Drosophila melanogaster: one gene and its partner. Changing the gene in region 2 together with the main gene of any one other region gives a genetic interaction. Each region holds a gene or a part of one and is shown on either strand. Other genes may lie near its edges.

Evidence for each region. A genetic interaction does not mean that the proteins touch.
Region 1: of egl (region 2) and eve, changing one enhances a phenotype caused by changing the other (phenotypic enhancement), as found in Drosophila melanogaster (one study listed by BioGRID).

The regions. Positions count from the first base shown.
Region 1 is NT_033778.4:9,977,319-9,981,348, reverse strand, and holds eve (even skipped), read right to left. Parts: upstream 2,031-4,030; 5' UTR 1,935-2,030; coding exon 1,796-1,934; exon of another isoform or gene 1,765-1,795; intron 1,725-1,764; coding exon 733-1,724; 3' UTR 554-732; downstream 1-553. UniProt on the Drosophila melanogaster protein: May play a role in determining neuronal identity. May be directly involved in specifying identity of individual neurons.
Region 2 is NT_033778.4:23,743,786-23,748,532, forward strand, and holds the start of egl (egalitarian), read right to left. Parts: upstream 3,045-4,747; 5' UTR 2,415-3,044; intron 1,400-2,414; exon of another isoform or gene 1,313-1,399; intron 830-1,312; 5' UTR 718-829; coding exon 552-717; intron 1-551. Other genes in the region: CG13560 (uncharacterized protein), read left to right, coding at 3,814-4,359.

The DNA.
Region 1 (4,030 bases), about 14 Mb from region 2:
GACCAACAAACAAAAAAGTCACTCAACGGGTGAGGTGACAATTAATTAGCCGAGCCCAATGCAATCCGAGGACACCGAAATTGATTCCATTGGCAATGCAACCTGACGCGTGGCAGGGAGTGGGCCCAACTCCTCGCCAAGGTCGCCGCCCAGCGGGGTGGCTCTGCATTTGCAATGGGCCCTCCCGCTTGGATCCGTTCGGATCGCATTAATAAGCCATTGGCTTGTGCCAATCCCCCGTGGATGTTGTTCCCTTCCCCGCCGGTGCCGCATCGGGAACCCTTACTCCTGATTGTGGGTGGCCACTCCGAAGGACACTCGGCACGCTCTGCGGCTCTGCCGCTCTGCCGCTCTTCCGTTCGATTTGCCACAGTTTCCCTGGGAAGGTCAGCAGTCAGCAGCGCAGCTGTCCCGCCAGGTTTCTCCACAGCTAATCCAGAGAGCCAGGTCCATAAAAGCGATTCAGCTCAGGTATATGAATATATGTTGATATATATGTAGATAATACCAGGTACCAGGTAGTTCAAATAAACAGTGTGTGTCGTATAATTTTCAATGTTATTTTCGCATTTATTTCTTAATTTGATTTTGCGCCTTAATTATGACTACAATTAGCTACTCTACAATCTGTACAATCTTCGGGAATAAATAGATGAGGCTGACTAAGACTAGTTTGTACAATCTTTTGGGGGAGCATGGGGGGGGGGGAGAGAGTGTGTGTGGATCGCGGGCTTACGCCTCAGTCTTGTAGGGCTTGAAGAGCTTCGGCTTGGGCTCCGCAATCACAGTTGTCGTCGGCGGCGGCGACATGTCGGAGGCAGGCCGCTTGGCACTGGGCATCAGGAGGCCTGGAGCGGGCAGCGGGCTGGTGGTGGTCAGTGGAGCGGGAGCAGGAACTGATGGAGCGGATTGAGCCACTGGACTGCGGTCGAACACCTTGGCGTGATCGGATCCCACTGGCGAGAGCGACAGCGTGGAGGAGTGCGGCGATGACGACGACTGCAGATCCAGCGGCGGCGTCTGGGTCTTGGGCACACCCACACCCAGTCCGGTATAGCAGGTGGCGGAGGGCAGAGCGCCCAAAAGGCCGGCGGCACCGGCGGAGTACGACGATCCCGTTGCGCTGGATCCCATCATGTGCGGATGATGCATATGAGGACCAGCGGGATGTGGCGGCGCCGGGCGGGCGGGGATGTGGTAGGGCGTGTAGCGGTACTGTCCGTAGGGCGATGGATGGCCGGCATGTCCCGAGTGTCCGGGCATCTGCATTGTGGGCATCTGGGGCATGCCCATCGGGGGCATTCCGGTGGCCATCATCGGATTGGTGGCCACGGCAGCGGCGGCGGCAGCAGCGGCGGCAGCAGCGGGGGCGTAGGGCGGATAGGGCATGCCCACGCTGTTGGCGGCGGCCTGGAGGATGGAGGCGGCGAAGGCGGGATCGGAGTAGACGGCTGCGTAGGGCCAGGCGACGGCGATCCTCTGACGCTTGTCCTTCATGCGGCGGTTCTGGAACCACACCTTGATCGTGCTCTCCGGGAGGTTCAGCTGGGCGGCCAGTTCGCAGCGACGGGGACGGGACACGTAGTTCTCCTTGTAGAACTCCTTCTCCAAGCGACCCAGCTGGTCACGGGTGAAGGCGGTGCGATAGCGGCGTACCGACGGGTCGGCGGGAATCTCCGAGCCGCGGCTGCCGTTCAAGGAGTTATCCGGACTGGATAGGCATTCTGTTTTGGACAGAGGAAAGATTGGGTGTAAGTAACTCGTCACGTTTGCTCGGCTTTATCTTTAAACTTACCATTTGGCGAGGGAGGCGGTGTCTGGGGCTTGCCGTACTGGGTGGCCAAGAGGTCCACAACCAGGGGCTTCTGGTCCACGGGACTGGCGTCGTGATGGGCATGGTGGCTCTCCATGTTGTAGGTTCGGTATCCGTGCATGTTTGGTATGCGTCTTGTGATTCAAAGTTGGCTTATTCAGAGGATATTAACGAAGGCAGTTAGTTGTTGACTGTGCGGCGGTCACAGCTCGAGTGTGCTGCTCTCAGCCACCCCGCGCCCTTTTATACCGCTGCGCTCTGCAGGCAAATGGCCGCCGTCGCTGGGAGCGGCCAATCGCAGCGACCCAGGCAGGTGCGAGCGGGACAGCCTGAGCGGAACGGTGCTAATCGTGCGGTGCTGAGAGTGGATGCGCTGCTGTGCTCTCGGTGCTGAGCGGCGATAACGAGGCGGGACAAAGCGGAGGAGCAGGACCCGGAGCAGCGGGATGGAGCCGCGTTCTCTGCTCGGCAGGACCATGAGGAGGTCCTGGCCATGCTGGCCATGGCACTCCCGAGCTGGAGAGAGAGAGAGTTCCGATTTGGTATTCATAGCGGATGAGCGAATCTTTTGTCTCGCCCGCCCGCAGGCGGTTGCTCCGCAGGAGCGAGCGGGACGGGCGGGCCCCCTTAATAATGGGATTTTATCGGCTTCATCAAGAATGATATGGCATTATGCCGCTCAGTCGGGTCGGGTGGTGTGTGTTTGCCGGCAGAGAGTGTGTGTATCCCACTATATATTTGTATGTATGTATTATCGATCGCCTGCCAGCGAATTATTTGCGCTTTTATGAAGTCTTAATATTATGCCGCACGTTTAACAGCCCCACACTGCCATGGCTGCCATGACTTTCGGGTTTTGGGGGCTTCATCCACCCCGTTGGAGCGGCGGCAGGGGTGTCCAGCCATAACCATTTGGGAACTGCTGTAGCGAGATAATGGCCGCCCCTGCCCGCAGAACATGGAAAATGGAAAATGGGAACCCAGTTGCCGGGACTTAATTTGAAAAGTTTTCGGTTTCGTTGGGCAAAACATTTATTATGATGATATAATCATTCCCAGCGTACCAACTGTACCAGGACCGGGATAGTGCCTCCTCTTTTGGGCCAGCAAACCGGCCACTTGCCACTTGCGCAAGTTAGCTTGGAGGTTTGGCCAAAAAAATCGTGGGGTCCACCCACAACTACCTGCTGCCCGGCTCAAAACGGGTTAAGCTCGCGGATCAGGGCTAAGTCGGCGCAAAAAAATAACCCAGTTCGCTAGTCCGTTAATTGCGTTGCCTGGACCTGCGCGCCCCTAATCCCTTCGACATCATTATTATGTGTTTTTATGACTTTCTAATGAAAAGGACAAGGGATTGGGATTGGGATTGGGATCGGGCTAGGGATCGGGATTGGATTCCAAGTCAAGCCCTTGGCTAATCCCAGCAAACAAACAAACAAACGCCCGCAGAAGATGGCGATGGCTAGATCGGCGGAATGCCCTGACTTCGCAACCCGGTCTCGTTGTGCGATTATAGTCCAGGGTCCCTCGATTCCGTCTAAATGAAAGTATGGCACAGCGTGTTACCAAACTGCGACGATTGTTCAAGATGCTGCAATAAAGTCTAACTCGAAAGTGAAACGAGGACGAAAGCGAAACGCTGCAACTGCAATTGACTAATAATCTCGCTGATGGCAAACGGATTAACACGGCACACACAGCGAGAAACCAGGCCAGCTTTTCGATCTGTCCCAGTTACGGTTCGGGTTCCATTGTTATGCAGTACCGGGTAACCAGGAAGGATACCTCGCTCCTGCCAGTTACTTCAAATTATTGGGTTATATTGCGCCCGCAATTTGCATTGGCATTAACTCGCCCGGCATAGCCGCATCGCAACAACTCTACCTACTGGCCGACCTGGAAAAGGCCCACATGCAAGCCTTCTTGCCCCGGGAAAGGTTCAATTCTCGAGGTTCGGGGTTCAGGGCTAACAGCTCACAGCTCATAGCTCATAGCTCAAACCCTACCCACAAGCAACAACCTTGCCTATTGTCCACCTCCGCCGGCCTTTGTCTTTGACTCCGTCCGGAGAATGGACGCGAAACGACCGCTTGGGTTAAGTCGTCAAGCGAGGCTCTGCGGCAGCGACAGTAAATACCCTTTATGGCGATCGGGTGGGTTGGATTGGATTGGGATGGGTTGGATTGGCTTGGTTAGGCGAAAGTGTCCGCCGGCGGA
Region 2 (4,747 bases):
GGTTTTTGGCATTGAGATCAGCCGGGAGATGGAAAATGAGGAGGCCTGACTGACTGACTCCCCTGCGGCAACTGGCAATCGGCAAACTGCAATTGGAAATGGAAATGGAAACGGCAATGACATGTGCACTTGGACGCCGACCACTCGAAGGCAACATGAACAACACAATCATCGACTGTGACTGTGACGAACAACGCAAACCCGCAGGTGCACAAATATGTATTGTATATGTATGTACCGCAGCCGAACAAGAGTGTCCACCGTTCAGTGTCCAATGTCCACTGTACACTACCGCTTTCCACCGCACACGTTTCCAATTTCCCAGGCTCGGCTGGCGACATTTCAAATGAGAGCATGAATTGAATGCCACGGCATTTTCAGCGCACTTTCCTTGACTTTATTCGATCCAGTTTTTTGATTAAAGAGAGCTGTTTTCAATTCAATCAATATAGCAGGCCTCTTCATTTTTATTTCAGTTGCATTTTGGCTATATGGATTTGCTTGTTGCGAAGTGTAGTTACTAAGTGCTGGCTTAGTTAGTGCGAACTTACCCGACTGACTGCCACCGGCGATTTGGCGCATCTCCTTGGTGAACTCCTTGTTGCCGAATTGGCAGGACAGGTCGTGGACGGTGCGGGGCTCGCCCTTGTCCAGCAGTCGCTCCAGGAAGAAGAGCAACGTCATGTTGCGTGCCATCTCGTACTCCATGGACTCCATTGCTGGGCCTGCTGTGTCCGCTATTCGCTATCTGATATCTGCTAGCTGCTCTCTGCTATCCGCTATCTGCTCAATTATTAATCCGCCCGAGTACGTCACGTTGGCTGCTTATCTGCGGGTAGAAGGAGGAGGAAGGGGAGAGCGTTAGTGAGGTGAAATGGCCAACACTTATGCAATGCGCCAAGAAAGCCGGCCAAAAGCAAAAGACAGGGCAGAAAGTAGCCAAACCGCAGGCACATATTAGATGACACTGAGAGAAACAAGGGTTTACCCTACTCAAAATCTTTCGCATGCCCACTTTTACTTTACTCTACGATGGTTCATAATCAACATGATTTTTTTCTCTCTGTACAGCTTCGTTTCGTTATTTATTTAATACATTTGCACTTTGCCACTGTCGCTCTCTCTTTCCTGCACGCTATGTGCGTCTCACTCGCTATCTCGACACTTGTCCCATGCCATTGCATTGTTTTTGTAGCTCGCCTTGCACTAGTTGAAAATATTCGAGGCAACGGCGGGCAGTTGCAGAGCCATAAACTTTGTTTTGCTTCGTGAATAATTGAGGAGCACAGACTCAAGCGAGTAAAACACGTACGAAGGAGTTGCTACCGTTCCTAGGAGCTGCGACTTCCGTACTCTTGCGGCATGTCCTTGCGCGCCGCTTGAAAGTTTGAAATCAACTGGCAGTTTCCTGCTTCCTGCGCCCACAACATAAACACCGGCGAATTCAGCCAGCTGACTGTGCGGCGAAAGAAGGAGTCCACGTCACGGCGAATTGGCATCAGTGTTGCCAGCTGAGAATTTCGAAACCGCCAGATTCGGTGACTGAAAACAGTGAAAACTCGCTAAGCCACAATTACTACTTAGCATCGAATCGAAAGTAAATAATCATAATATATCTGCTCTATATATCTTTCATTTAAAAGCAAGAGCTAATCTACAAAATCAAATTACCGTAAGATCGCCAGACGATTTTCTATCTAGCGATGTTGGTCTGTATGGGAACGCGCCAATTGGAATTTGCATGGGATTAGTGCAAATAAGACTCTGAGCACAATGGGATTTGGTTGGACTTTTCGAATGGAATTCGGTGGGAATCAAAAGTTGGCGATCAAAAGTTGGCACCTCGACGGGACTAAGGGTATATATAACACGTTTTAATTTGTTTGTTGCTGCCTCTGATTTTTGCCGCCGATTGGCATGTGAAAAGTGTCAGCGCTGCAGAACAGGTGATTGACACAGAAAGAAAGGTACAAATGTGCAGCGGAAATGGAAAATGAAAAGCGCCAGCTCCCTCCCAGGAGTGCATATTACTATTTTTCGCCAGGCCGAACAGAATTTGCCACTCATTATTGTTATCCAACAGGAGGGCTGCCCAAGCCAATAAGAAGTGCAGGTGTAGCTGTGTTCGTGCTTTCCAATTGATAAGCAGAAACCGTTGACAACAAATATGTATTGAGAACGGCAACAACAAAGCACACACATTCCAATCAGCCAATAACTGTGCGCGTGTGAGTGTATGTGCTGTACAGGTATTTGTGCGATTGTATGGGTGGCAAAACAAGAAACTCCAGCCACACCGATAAAAAGAAGAGTCTTATTAGAAGCGAAAGAAAGGTAAAACAATAAAGGAGAAGCGAATAATATCTGGCAGAGAAAACGCGCAAAATATGCAAAAGAAGAGCAGCTGTAATTACCTGTCGGTTAATCACTTGTTTGTTTCGTTCCCTTCTGTTTGTTTAAGTGCACTTGTGATCTGATCTATATTTAAACCGATTGACACACACGCGATACAGATCCTCGCGTTTGGGATTTCTCACCAGATCTGCGTTCAGATCTTAGTTTCAGCTTTTCTTGCCACTGGCGATTTCCAATTGGGCTTCAATTAATTAACATTTTTCGGCGCAATTAACCCATACACTTGCAGAAAAACTGCGACGAAAGCAGTTAGTTATTTTCGTAGCTGTGTTGCTGCTATTGTATTGTTGTTGTATCACTCACACTCATGCACACACATATGCGCGCTGGTCAGGTAGGTTACGTATGTGTGTGCGTGTGTTTGTTAGGCACTTTGAACTGAATGCTGGTAAGAATTGTAAAAACCACTTGTTGCACTGTTTTAAAGGCACTCGTCCAATTGGAGAGTGGCGCACGTGAATTTGCGATTCCTGCCGGTTGGCGGGCAACTGAAACGCACTCGCTGGCAGGTAAAAAAACAGACAATTGCCACGGTTTTCGGAGCGGAGCGATGCGATACGATATGATGATGACAGCGCCAACGCGAACACACGAACACCAGCGCAGCGAAAAACACCAACGAATCGAATTTGGATGGCGGGCGGCGAAGCGAAGGCGGTGGCTGGTGTGGCCAGTGCACGGCCGAGGCGGGAATACCACTGAGCGGCAACGTTGGTATTTTATTAGCCGGGTGGCAACGTCTCGCGGCGCGACTGTTAAGCAGTGTGACCGTTTCGTTTCGCTTCGATTCGAAATTGGATTTCGAAATCATTTTGAAAGATTGTATAGATTCCTTAGAACTGTTTATGGTAGTTCAGTAATTATTAATTCAGCTTTAATCACACGAACCTCTTCCATTAAAGAGTCAAAATCCCGCCATAAGCCTATCTCTTGAACCTTAGTAAAACTCGAACTCCACTGCGTTCAAGGCATTGCTATCTTATATTATTTTTATACATCCTTCAAAATCTCTATGAACCAAACACGCATCTGTTTTGCGGTTATTTAAATAAGGCCGAGTGCTAAAGCACTGCTAGAATGGCTGAATAGCTATTCAGTAGAACTCAAAACAATACCCGAGCTGCCTGTGTTTGCACACTTGCTTAGAATAAACTAGATCTAACAAATCCACAATTCCCCCATTGTTGACTTGTTCAAACAAATGTATTTTCGATAGTCATCGGCCAAATTGTCTCAAGAATATCCTACTAAGCCACGTGCGGCAAATGATGATGATTCGGAGCAAACACACAGTCTGAAAATGAACCAAAAAAATCGTGGGTGATGCGTATAAATACCCTAATTAAATGCAGAGAAAGTACAGTACTTGAGTACAGTGTTCAACGGACGGAGCTAAAGATGCGATTCCAATTCGTCCTGGCCTTTGGTCTTATTGCCATCTTGGCGACCGCTTATGCTGGTGGCGATACCACAGGCACCGGCAGCACGGGCACCGATACTACGGGGACCGGGAGCACGGGCACCGGGAGCACGGGCACCGGTAGCACCGGGAGCACGGGCACCGGTAGCACGGGCACTGGCAGCACCGGGAGCACGGGCACCGGTAGCACGGGCACTGGCAGCACCGGAAGCACGGGTACAGGCAGCACCGGAAGTACGGCCACTGGCAGCACCGGAAGTACGGGATCAACCACCTCTGGCAGCCCCAGCACCTCAACTGGCTCATCCTCGACTAATCCGTCTCCTTCCACAACCTCGCCCTCCACATCGCCCACCACGTCCACCTCCCCGAGCGACTCCTCATCCTCCGGCTCCAGCAGTAGCTCTTCGTCATCCAAGCGGAACCGCAAGGAGAGGCGTCGTCGCTACCGACGTCGTCAGAGACGCCAGGAGAGACGCCGTGAGAGGAGGGAGCGCCAGCGCCAGCAGCGCCGTCGGGGCTGAAATGGGAATCCCAACTCACATGACATTGTAACTCAATGCAAATAAAATTGTTACATGAAAAACCAATATAAACCCTAGATATAAATGTGAATGCAATTTTGTGTTGCATACCTTAAGACACCATAAGAGAAATGTTTTCAGTCCTCCACAGAATCACAGCATGTACCAGCAAGCTTTCTTAGCTCGCATAGCTTTCTCACTCCATTTGGTTCTATCTGAACTAGTGACTCGGCTTCATACTATCGTAGTAACGAATTTCCTAAAGTACAGAACGCCCGGAAAGTATGCAGAACATATATGAGACCTTGTTTCGAAATAAACTCACGAGGCTTTAGAACTAAAGATAATTAATTCCACGAAGTGTTTACGATTCAGTCCAAAAAAATTC